Linked DNA regions of Oryzias latipes. The main gene of each other region encodes a partner of the protein of the gene in region 3 in a complex. Links are inferred from orthologs where the notes say so. Each region holds a gene or a part of one and is shown on either strand. Other genes may lie near its edges.

Region 1 (3,755 bases), on a different chromosome or scaffold from region 3:
GTCCCCATGGGTAAAGATCCCCCCGCTTAAACGAACACGGGTCCAGGCCGTCTTAAGTTTGCCAGAGATCATCTGATTGATCCAGAAGAGTATTGGGAGAATGTCATTAGATCCAAATGGAACTCTGGTATGAACACCTCTTGCATTTGTTAGAGTAAGCATGCTGAGGTCAGAACATAGCTGGCTCTTCCAGCATAGCAATCATTCCAAACACACTAAAAATGAAGCTTTTTTTTTTTAACAAAAAGTTGGTAAAATGTCTGCAAACAGGTGCAGAATTCTAATTGAAAGGCACAGAAAACAAAATATGAAGTTTAAGTTACCAATACTTTGTCCAGTCATTTCACTAGTTAATTATTGTACAAAAATTCCAGAGTTATGCCTGATTTTCATTAAATTATTTATAAATTGATTAATACTTTTGTCATTTCTCAGACATTTCTTAAAACATTGGAGGGGAGGGACAAGTTTGGTGCAATCCAAATATTGTTCAGTATTAAGGGGAAAAGGGGCAAATCATGTTCTCTCTTCTCCCTTTCATTTAAGAGTGTATTTTTGAGCCTAAGAGGTGTTTTAGATTTGTATTTTCACAATTATGTATTGATATATCTTTGGAAAAGAATAAAATAAACTCATCAAACTTAAACAGCAAACACTGAACAAATATAAACCAGTGTTTCTGTAGTTGAAGTTAAAGCCAAAGGCAGCAAAGAGTCCAACGGCACAAATCCAGAGAAACATCCTTTTAAAGAGGAAGGCATATTATCTGAGAAGAACATCTCAAAACCTAAGGATGAAGACTCATCAGGTCTAAAATGGAAAAAGACAGGAATTTTACATCTGTTACAAGTGTTTCAATTATGTTTAATAGAATCTACGTATCAAGACTGTTAAATAAAGTTAAAAATAATGTGTTCAATTTGGAATAAACTATATTTAAAAATCATGTTGTGATGTTAATGTTCACTTTGAGTGGAGAAATTAAGCTACAGGAAGACACTGAACCTGATGCACATTGCCCCATGGTGGCCACGTAAAATGTTTTGCAAACCCTAATCGCACATTTCTACAGTAATTCTACCGGTTACTTCAAAAGAAGAGACAAGATGACTCCTCGTAAACACTTCCTTGTTTACACCAGTGCTCAAAGGTTTTATATGTTTTTCATTTTAAATGTGAGTGTTGGTTTGCTGAAATCAGTAATAGACATTTTTGGCTGTAATGCTTTAGAATTCAACCATGTACCCTGGAATATCACCACAGCATTTTGAAAAAGAAAGGTGTAACAAAGCATTTTTGTGCTAATTCTTTCTCCTTTGGTACAATATAGTAATTTCTTTACGATAAATATCAGATTACATTTGAAATGAGTAATGCATTTTCCAATTCTTTTTAAACGCACCAACAGAATCGTATTCTTGACGCATGCGCAACAGCAATTTCAATCCGGAAGTGACGTTCTATGGTATCCTCTTTCCGCTAGCCGTGTAGTGGAATCGTGAGTATTTTTTCCAAGTCAAAGACGTTTTTTTACAGATGTTTTTTTGTTAAAACGGTATAAATATGATAAATGTAGCCATACATCTCGTTTGATTAGTGTGCAGTGAATCTTAAAACAAATAAGTTTTCTAAAGAGCCCAAAATGAGTTTTTTGTCTTGTCTGAGTGTTAGCATAATCAAATTTGGTGGCTAGTAATACCCTTTATAAGTATTAAAGTCTGTTTAATCGATAAATGTATGTATATGTTTTGTTATATACAACTGATGTTACCTTGTTTGTTCTGCGTTTAAAGTACAGTAGCTAACTGAAAATAACTGTACTCATGTTTGACAAATACCGTGTTGTTGTTGAAGCAGGTTAGGGATGACTACCGCAGCAAGACCAACGTTTGAGCCGGCGAGAGGAGGGAGAGGAAAAGGAGAAGGCGATCTGAGTGCCTTGTCCAAGCAATATTCCAGCCGAGATCTTCCAGGTCACACCAAGATCAAATACAGGTGGTTTTTAGTTCCTATTAAACTCTGCTGCGACAGCTCAGTTGAAAAAGAAAGCGATTGTTTGAAAGAAACATATTTAATCATGTTAAGATTCTCGAAGATTCAATCTGAATTATTTGGGAAATGGTCAAACCGGATTGATTAAATTAGTCTTTTTGTGCTATAATTATTAAAAAGTGGAACATAAATCTACACTTGATTAAATGTCTACATGTATAATGTGTTGGGTACAATTAAGCTAACCTCACGTTGGAGCATCACATGAATCAGTTTATGACATGGGGGGGGGGGGGGGCATGTGTGCATTTTCTTGTCTATTTAGTGTCTCTCCATGACCCTTAAGAAAATGTTAAATAATTTGCTCACAAATATCTTGCATCTAATAAGTCATTGCTCAGTATTAAAATGGTTATCAACTAAATTGTATAACCATAAAGCTTTTGTACATTTGGAGTACATCATTTAGTATTGATAATTCTTGATGGTTTGTTTGCTGCAGGTTATGTTTAAATTGTAGCTACAGTGTGTAGGAGGGGTGGTTTGCATTTACCAATTGTGCAAGTTCTACAAAAAATATTTTTACAATTTTCGCTATATATTTTTTTTTAATATGCATTCAATCTCTCACAGTTGTAGTGTATATGATGGAATCATAGACCTCTCATCTTTTTAAATTAGACAATTTGCTAAATATGTTACTGAGAAATACTTTTTCCCCCAACTGTACATGTTACTATTTATCTCATGAGTGGTTTTTGGAGTTTGTAGTGGGACTTAGTCTTGAAAATGCTATGATCCCTTAGACAGCCCACTCAGGATGCCCCCGAGGAGGTGCGTGCCCGTGATTTCCGTAGGGAACTGGAGGAGAAGGAGCGTGTAGCAGCACGTGAGAAGACCAGAGAGAGGGGACCAAGAGGTTAGTCTCTATCAAAATTTTAGACTTACTGTTTTTGACACACAAGTATAAACCAAGCAAAGTATGTATTTTTCTGTAAATGCAGTCTTTACATTTTTTTCTCTCCAGAACACACTACATCCTCTTCATCATCTTCATCATCATCAAAGAGGCCCAGGTTGGATCAGATTCCAGCTGCTAACCTTGATGCTGATGACCCTCTCACTGATGTAAGTGTCTGCACTGATATAATAAAGAAAACATTTCATCAGTACACCTACGGCTGGGAGATGAGACCTTTTCTCGCTGTTGCACTTGACATGATCTGAATAGATATTGATATTTTAGTGCTATAAAACTTTCTCTTTAAAGACTGTAAATATTAAAATTAGCAATAAAATGCCTGGATTGACTTAATTGGGGAAAAATCACTGTAAAGTTGACTTTTAACAAACAATTTCTTTTGTACAACTTCTCTGCTTTGGACACATTAAACTTGAAACATCCCAGATGGTTCATTTGTGGTTAATTTTAGCTGATCAGACCACCTAAAAGAACAATTGTGGGTAAACTTAAAACTTAGTTTTTTCATTCAAGAAAAAAAATGTACACAAAATTTAAAAAGTGTGGCAAACAAACTTGATTTAAATATGACCGTTGTTCCTCCTCTGGAAAAATTGAGCAGACTGGGGCTCTCCAAATGCCAGGCTGGTGTATTTAAAGGCTAAACTCCCTGCATTGCCTCTTATGGTCGGTCCCACAGTACAGCTCCTGAAGCTGAACCTCATCCACATCTACAGCTACCAGCAACACATCCAGCACTGGTACCTCCAACAAGGTGGCATTAGTTAAACTGATAACTGTA
Region 2 (3,755 bases), on a different chromosome or scaffold from region 3:
ATTTCCCTTTAGAATGTGCAGCCAAAATGAAAAGTAATGCTTTTATACAAAGATGATAAATTAATTTGGTTTTAATTTCAAAAGGTTCTAGTTCAGTGTCATCACTGAAAACAAGGTGAGCATCTTTACTACAAATTTTGACCGCTTTATTAGTAAGGTTTGCTGAGCTGTGGTCACCCCTGGCTGCAAGGTGGGCAAAATATCAATGCCAACGACTCTAAGAATACAACCAAAATGTACTTATTTTTCCTAAAAGCTAATGACCACCTCTTGATTTATGTTTTGAAGTTATTTCATTCAGTTCTTTGTACAGAAATGGGAGCTACCGGCAATTTTTTGTTAACATTTGTTCATTTTTGCAAGGTTAGGTCTTAAAGCACTGTTGTCCATTTGTTTTTGTTTTTTCAGTGAGTTTTTTCTCACAAACCTCAGAACAACACTTTCATAAAAACTACTAATCATCAATGTAAAAAATCTTCATCTTTGGAGGATTCAGCATTCACGTCCATTCCAAAGTGTCAATTCAAAGTGTCTGTGTTGTTTGGGTCTGCGATCTGTGGAGGATTTTAAAATATATCTATTTTGTATCATAAAATATAATACATTCTTCACGTCGAAAATTAGGTTTTTATCAGTAGTGCAATATAATTATGGTCTCTGGGCAAAGTCGTTTGGATTCTGTTTTTACTTTTATTTTGAAAGTACAGAGGAGAGTGTGTTAACTTGTGTTTTCTCCCTTCGGCCGAAGTTTGACAAAGCGACACGAAAACACAGGGAGAATTGAACTCCAATCTAATTTAAGCGTTAAATTGAGTCGTTAGTTGAACGTACAAATTACGTCAGTAGTATGACATGTCAAACTTATTAAACAAATCCATTCCCTCGGTTACTCTGCTGTTCCACACAGCAAGAAAACTTTTATTGTGAAATCCGGATGCGCGTTGTGAACCGGAACTACATTTTAAGTTTTTCCGCCTTAACAGGACAGTAAAGAGACATTTCGAAATATAGTCGACAAAGGGAATTTGAAGGCTACTAAACGGCAAGTAACGGAATATAGTTTTAATTCAAAGACTATGAATGAACGATTTTCTAGTTTTACTAACAGACTAGCTAAAAATTAGTCGTGTATCTTTTTGGCGTTTATGTAGCATTAGCAGTTAGCCGAGTAGCTCATCCAGATTCACATGGTTGCCGTCAGTCTCTGGTGTAAAAATTAGTTTGTTTATAACATTGTTAAACAAATCTTTTATTTTCGACTAGTGTTGATATTTATTAGCTTAATATTTGACTTGTGATTAGTTGTAGGTATTTTGTTTCTCAGTGTTCCTGGAGCTACCTGTTGTTAGCTCAGTGGATAATAAAATGACACAATTATACCTAAAAAAATAGATAGCAACTAGGGATCGCTGATTATTTTATTCTTTCCATGGATCTGAAAGACCTTACCACTTCAGAAACTGTTTATTACTACATTTAAAAAAAACATGATTGGTGTGGTTCCAAAATAACTGGTTTGCCATCTAAGTTCTTCAAATGTATGGCTGCCCTTAAGTTAAACTGGAGATTCCACATAAAACAAACAAGTCCGAGTATAAGGCGTCTCAAACTTTGAGCCAGGGTGACACTTTAGTTCGATTCCTACTGCTTGAAAGTAAGAATAAGGACATTAGTGCACTTGAAGTTTTACCAAAATAAGAAAAATAAATTGGCTCTTTTCTTAATCCAGTATTCATGGGCAACCAACCCATGTGTACCTTATTCTCATTCTTTTAAACTTTTTCCGTACTAAATGAATTAAACTGGATTGTAAAATCAAGTCAACATTTATTATTATTATTATTATTATTATTATTATTATTAATGTCACTTATAGTCTTGCTCTGCTCATACCCAATATTACTGTACATTTAGAATTCACCTGATGTTCTGGTTACTGATTAGATTTCCAAAGAGGTTTTTATTTATTTATTCGTTTGCTTTTTTACTTTATTGGCCTTCTTAAGAACCATCCCCACCACCACCACCCCAAAAAAGTCATCCCTCATAATTGTTTATTGATCACAAAAGACTGTTGCATTGATGGGAGATAGATAGTCAAATATAAAAATGTTGTGATTTTTTTCTTCTTCTTTTTAAATGCTTTTAAGTTGTGTTGTGAAAGAAGATTTTATGTTTTCCGTTCACTATACAGGAGATTGACTATTTTTCTGCCTCCTTTTCTTTTAGTGATGGACTCTTCAGATAAAAGCCAAAGTCCCACTCCTCAAAATGAACCACCTAGAGGTGAGTAAAACACTGCCAGAACAATAGTGTAGTAATCAAATGTCGGCATCAGTTGATTTGATATCAAATTGTTATTTGGGTCTGTTCTGGATGTACAGCAGGTGACGAATCCAATCCAGCTGATGGGAGACTCCAACAAGTTAGTGCAGAGGAGGAAAGCACCAAAGAGCAGCAGTCTCCACAAAGAAAGTCTCCAATGTCCAGGAACTCATCCAAGAGCCCCAACTCTAGCAGCTCAGACAGCAGCAGCAGTGAAGATGAACATCATGGTGCACTAAGGAAGATACGGAGTAGTGTTGCTGAAATCAAAGTGAGTTATTTCATATACGTACTGTTTTACAATCAACTTCCAAAAATTTGAATATCATAACAATAGTATGTTCATTTCCATAATTGCATTAAAAAATACACTTTAATAGAATCTAATCTCATGTCCCTTTGTTTAATTAATTTCGCGTATTTATTTGATTTTTTTATTTATTTATTTATTTTGCATAAATTAGGATTCCAGCTTATGAAACCCACAAAAAACAGGATTTCAAAAAAAATTGGAATACTATGGAAATATTTTCCTAAATTTAGCTAGCATGAATGTTTTAAATTGGGTTTCATCAACTAATCACCTACTAAAATCAAGGTTCAATATGGGGAAGACTTTAGACTTCACAACTGGCCAGAAGACCGTCATTGATCCCTCCATAGTCTGGGTAATCAGTCACCAACGTTCCTAGCTAAGGAAGCTGGCTGTTCACAGCTGTCCAAGCAGATCACTGGAAAGTTCAATGGAAGGGTAAAATGTGGCAAGAGAAGATGCAGGAGCAAAAGAGACAACCGTGGGCTTCAGCGGATTATCAAAAGATTAAAGAAGCTCCAGAAATCCAGAAAGAGTGGAATGGGGGGGAGGAACAGCTTTAAGAACCACTACACTCAGACGCATGTGGGAGATGGGCTACAACTGTCGGGTTCCTCGGGTTAAACCACTTCTGAGCCTGGACAAACGGAGGAAACATTTCAATGGGGCCAAAATGAAGAAGGACTGGACTGTTGGCCAGCGGTCCACGGTCCTGTTTTGTTATGAGAGATAAGTGTGCCGTTTATTTGGACTGGTGAGGAGCAGAACCCAAACTGCTAGGGGTCCAGTGTGAAATCTCCACAGTCAGTCCTGATTTGGGCTGCAATTTCCAGCACTGGTGTTGGAAAACTCTGATTTCCGTCTAGCAGAATGTTCTAGAGCAGCGGTCCCCAAACCCCCGGGTCGCGGACTGGTACCGGTCCGTGAGTCATTTGTTAACGGGCCGTGGAGGAAGAAAAAAAAAAGAAGCTTGCATTACTTCCGTTTTATTTATTTCCGAATCTGAAAGATGTTTTATATTGAAAAATTGCCCGATTATCTGTTTTATCCGTTTATGTCACTCTTGATGCAGGCCGAGGCGCTCTTCTCGATCATGTGATAGGTTACAGCTAAAATA
Region 3 (3,755 bases):
GGACGCAGATGTTTTAAAATGTCAAGTCTTGTGTACATCCCATATATTTGTTACCCTATAAATCACAATGTACAGAAATGGTGCAAACACAAATAAATGAGTGAGAGAACAAATCAAGGAAGCAGAATAATTTCAACGGGCCGCATGTGAAGATGCTGGAGAGGAGCTGGGTGTGGAGCCTGAGGCAGAGGACTTCACTCATTTTATCAGTTTACTGCTTGGACTGTTAAGCTAAGAGTTTCTAAAACATAGTTTCTGTGGCCTGCAGATTCAATCTAGCACTGGTGACAAAAAGGAAAAGAGAGTTTTGCACCTTTTCAGTTTGAGGTAGTGCTCCATCTCTCTTCGCCTCTGCGGCGTTATGAGTTCTGCCGTTTGTCTCGACTCAGACTGACACTGAATTCTGTCTTTGGATGAACAAGACTCTACAAAAATAAAAATAAAAGCATCAGTTGAAACAGAACCATCAGTTATTTTAAATAAAATATCAAAATATGATTTCTAGGAGCAGATTTTACCTGTGAAACAATCACTAGAATCACTTGTGGATGCATTGTCAGAAACTTCTGGTTTCCAACATGCAGATGGGAAATTGTGTTGAAATGTGTTTCCAGCAGTGCTCGACTGTCCTTTATTCAACTTTGTACTGAAAATAAATAAATAAACAGATATATGTTCACATCTTTACTTCCATTTTAAACTACAGATGAGTATTTTAACCTTAAATGATGACCAACCTGGTTTTTCTGTGGCAGCTGTTGTATGGAACAGTCTTCAGAAGAGCATGATGGGTAAGTTTCCGGGTCTGTGCCAGTAAAGGTGCCGAACTGGAGGGCTCCTGCAATCACAACAAAAGAGACTTGTCTCTCAGACTGAGCTCTGACAGACTCCAACTCAGCTAAATGCTCCATGTGTCCTCTGGCCGGCTCTGCTCATGTTTTCCACCAGCAGACACCCGCTTCAACTCACGCTGCAGAGTCTACAGGTTGTCTGAGTCACGTGGCAGCCACAAGCACGTACTGGATGTCACACAAGAATACGACTTATTCTTATATCCATATTTAACATGTTACAAGCAGCGACATAATATCTTTACAGGAGTACAGGAGGTGCATCCTTTCTACAACTGTCATTCCAAAACAAGTCAATAAAGTACTATAATTCAGCAACAATAAAAATTTAACCACAATAACACTAAGTATTTAGTCGTCTCTGTAAAAACGGTCGGTCGGTCGGTCGGTCGGTCGGTCATCACACGGTCATCATGTCATTGTTTCGTGTGATGGTCGGTCGGTCGGTCATCATGTCATTGTTTCGTGTGATGGTCGGTCGGTCGGTCATCATGTCATTGTTTCGTGTGATGGTCGGTCGGTCGGTCATCATGTCATTGTTTCGTGTGATGGTCGGTCGGTCGGTCGGTCGGTCGGTCGGTCGGTCGGTACGTCGGTCGGTCGGTACGTCGGTCGGTCGGTCGGTCGGTACGTCGGTCGGTCGGTCGGTCGGTCGGTCGGTCGGTCAAAATACAAAATTACCCGCAGGTAAAATGATCAAGTTGAAGCTCCAAACCTCTTTGTCTTCTGCTCTGACATAATCTTCATGTTTTCTTTTTGCAATTTCATTCTTGAACTTTGACTTTTTCCCATAAAAGGATTTTAAACCTAAAACACAAAACAAAAAAACACAACGGATATAAAAGCATGCACCAAAAGCACATGCATAATAAAACTTTATTTAAAAAATAAGAAAACATATATGACATATTTACATGTCACACCCATTCTGGAGTGACATTTACATCCATTTTCTACCAATACTCTGTTATGTAGCATTAATGTCGGAAAACAACGAACGTCAGGCGAATGATGCTCACACCTCCTGTCATTAGTGCCTTAATATGACACACCTGTTACATCAACAACACAGAAGATCTGTTTGGGGCCAAATGTGCAAACACTATCTGAGAGAAATGAGCCTACAGTGTTTTGTCTACATCTAAATATGACCACCAAGACACTTTTATACTGGGGAATTTAAAAATTTTCCACACTAAGAGTCACTTTTTAAGGAGGATATTTACCTTCTAAATGCTTCTTCCCTTGCCTGTGGACTGTCAACATGTCAACTGTGTCAAACACTGGGCGATACGAACACACAAGGCACGTGTACCTGTGTGGAGCGAACGCAGAAAGGTGAGTTACTTTCACAACAAAACTGACACTTAGGGTTTAGTTATATTCACCTGCCATTACTCAGAAGAGCAGCTTCATCTTCCGGAATAAAATTGGACAAAAGGTCAGATACACGCCGTTTCTGTAAACCAACAGCCCAAATCATCAGTAAGTATTTCATAGCAGATGAAAAATTTACATTAAATACTTTACCAAACAGTTTTCATTTACTCTGTGTACATTATATCCATATGAAACTTGCTACTAGCTAAGCTAGCAAAACAAATAAAAAACGACAGCGTATGAACTTTAAGAAAGCCTATTCTTTTATGAATACAATGTATTATATCATTTTAAATACCTTTAAAATATTAAGTTGGCTCCCATCATTTCCTTCCCTTTTGAATGACATAATTATATCGAAGTAAATCAATGGTATAAACACCAGATTAACGGCTAGCTCAATGAGTTAACTCATTGGGCTAGCTTCTCTATACGTCACACTATCCCGGAAGTGTTGGTAGTGCTGCATTCAGGGACAAACATGTACACTTTTTTTGTCCACGATTTCCAGCTAACCACGTTGCAGTTTCCCATCGTACCATTTCATTTATTTATGGTCAAGTTAACTAGTCTAACAAACCATTGTTAAAATATTATTTTACATTTAAATTGATTTGTTTGCATGTACTCTTAAGAAAGCATCGATGTGAAATGTTTATAACATCACATATTTTTTGTAAATAAATCGCGAAGGGGAAAAAAACTGCCTATTTTAATCAATGAAATTTTAATTCATACTAAACAAACTCTGATTAAAATAAAAAAAATAAAAATGTTATGTTTTCATTTAAATTTCAGTATTCAAATTACTTTGAACACAACCCACCCAATGAGAGCCGTCATTCACAGCGGCAGCCATGGCAACAGACTGCAGCTGACTGAAAAAAACAACATATTTAAAGTTTTTAGATATGTTTTTAGATTGTTTACTGACAGTTAAGCTATGTTTAAGGTGTTTTAAGTAGTTTTTCTTCAATTCCCGACTGTTGATAAGGTTCAGGCAGTGCCATTTCGGCACTTTGGCAAGAAGAAGATGAATTAGTCGATACTTTAGCAGCTAGCAGGTGAACTGGGCTTGCTAGTTTAGGACGACGTCAAACCAGTTCCAACATTAAAATTGCGTACGTGTTACTGATGATTTTCACATAAATAATTATCGGATATGTCCGGACAACGAGCGGCTTTGCCATCCGGGAGAGGCGGTCTTCTTCGCGGAAGCCGAGCTATGTCGTACGGCAGCTTGATGCGATCGTCGCCGGCGTCTCCGGTCCGCCAGAGACACGTTGAACACACGGTTCAGTCCGGAGACACGCTCCAAGGTCTGGCCCTGAAGTATGGAGTCTCTGTAAGTATAATAAACCAGATTTGTACTCCCTACTTTAGACAATTAAAACAATTTGAAATATTAACAAGGAACATCTTTTGTTTCCACACTAAAAGTAAAATCTATTCATTGGTTTTATGTTATGACATAATTTTTTTTGATTCTGACATTTGTTAGTTTAAAAAAAAAACAACAACATT

Evidence for each region.
Region 1: scnm1 (region 3) and cwc15 share a complex: the UniProt entries of both Homo sapiens proteins name them as parts of the minor spliceosome. The link is inferred for Oryzias latipes from reciprocal best matches to the Homo sapiens genes SCNM1 and CWC15.
Region 2: scnm1 (region 3) and cwc22 share a complex: the UniProt entries of both Homo sapiens proteins name them as parts of the minor spliceosome. The link is inferred for Oryzias latipes from reciprocal best matches to the Homo sapiens genes SCNM1 and CWC22.

The regions. Positions count from the first base shown.
Region 1 is NC_019872.2:16,001,208-16,004,962, reverse strand, and holds the start of cwc15 (spliceosome-associated protein CWC15 homolog), read left to right. Parts: upstream 1-1,398; 5' UTR 1,399-1,498; intron 1,499-1,854; exon of another isoform or gene 1,855-1,857; 5' UTR 1,858-1,864; coding exon 1,865-1,995; intron 1,996-2,798; coding exon 2,799-2,911; intron 2,912-3,019; coding exon 3,020-3,120; intron 3,121-3,755. UniProt on the Homo sapiens protein: Involved in pre-mRNA splicing as component of the spliceosome. Component of the PRP19-CDC5L complex that forms an integral part of the spliceosome and is required for activating pre-mRNA splicing.
Region 2 is NC_019879.2:6,703,846-6,707,600, reverse strand, and holds the start of cwc22 (pre-mRNA-splicing factor CWC22 homolog), read left to right. Parts: upstream 1-921; 5' UTR 922-1,042; intron 1,043-2,229; 5' UTR 2,230-2,231; coding exon 2,232-2,286; intron 2,287-2,384; coding exon 2,385-2,596; intron 2,597-3,755. UniProt on the Homo sapiens protein: Required for pre-mRNA splicing as component of the spliceosome. As a component of the minor spliceosome, involved in the splicing of U12-type introns in pre-mRNAs. Promotes exon-junction complex (EJC) assembly.
Region 3 is NC_019874.2:27,122,190-27,125,944, forward strand, and holds the start of scnm1 (sodium channel modifier 1), read right to left. Parts: upstream 2,673-3,755; 5' UTR 2,581-2,672; coding exon 2,530-2,580; intron 2,311-2,529; coding exon 2,240-2,310; intron 2,167-2,239; coding exon 2,078-2,166; intron 1,659-2,077; coding exon 1,567-1,658; intron 839-1,566; coding exon 738-838; intron 647-737; coding exon 519-646; intron 426-518; coding exon 314-425; intron 1-313. Other genes in the region: lysmd1 (lysM and putative peptidoglycan-binding domain-containing protein 1), read left to right, coding at 3,394-3,576. UniProt on the Homo sapiens protein: As a component of the minor spliceosome, involved in the splicing of U12-type introns in pre-mRNAs. Plays a role in the regulation of primary cilia length and Hedgehog signaling.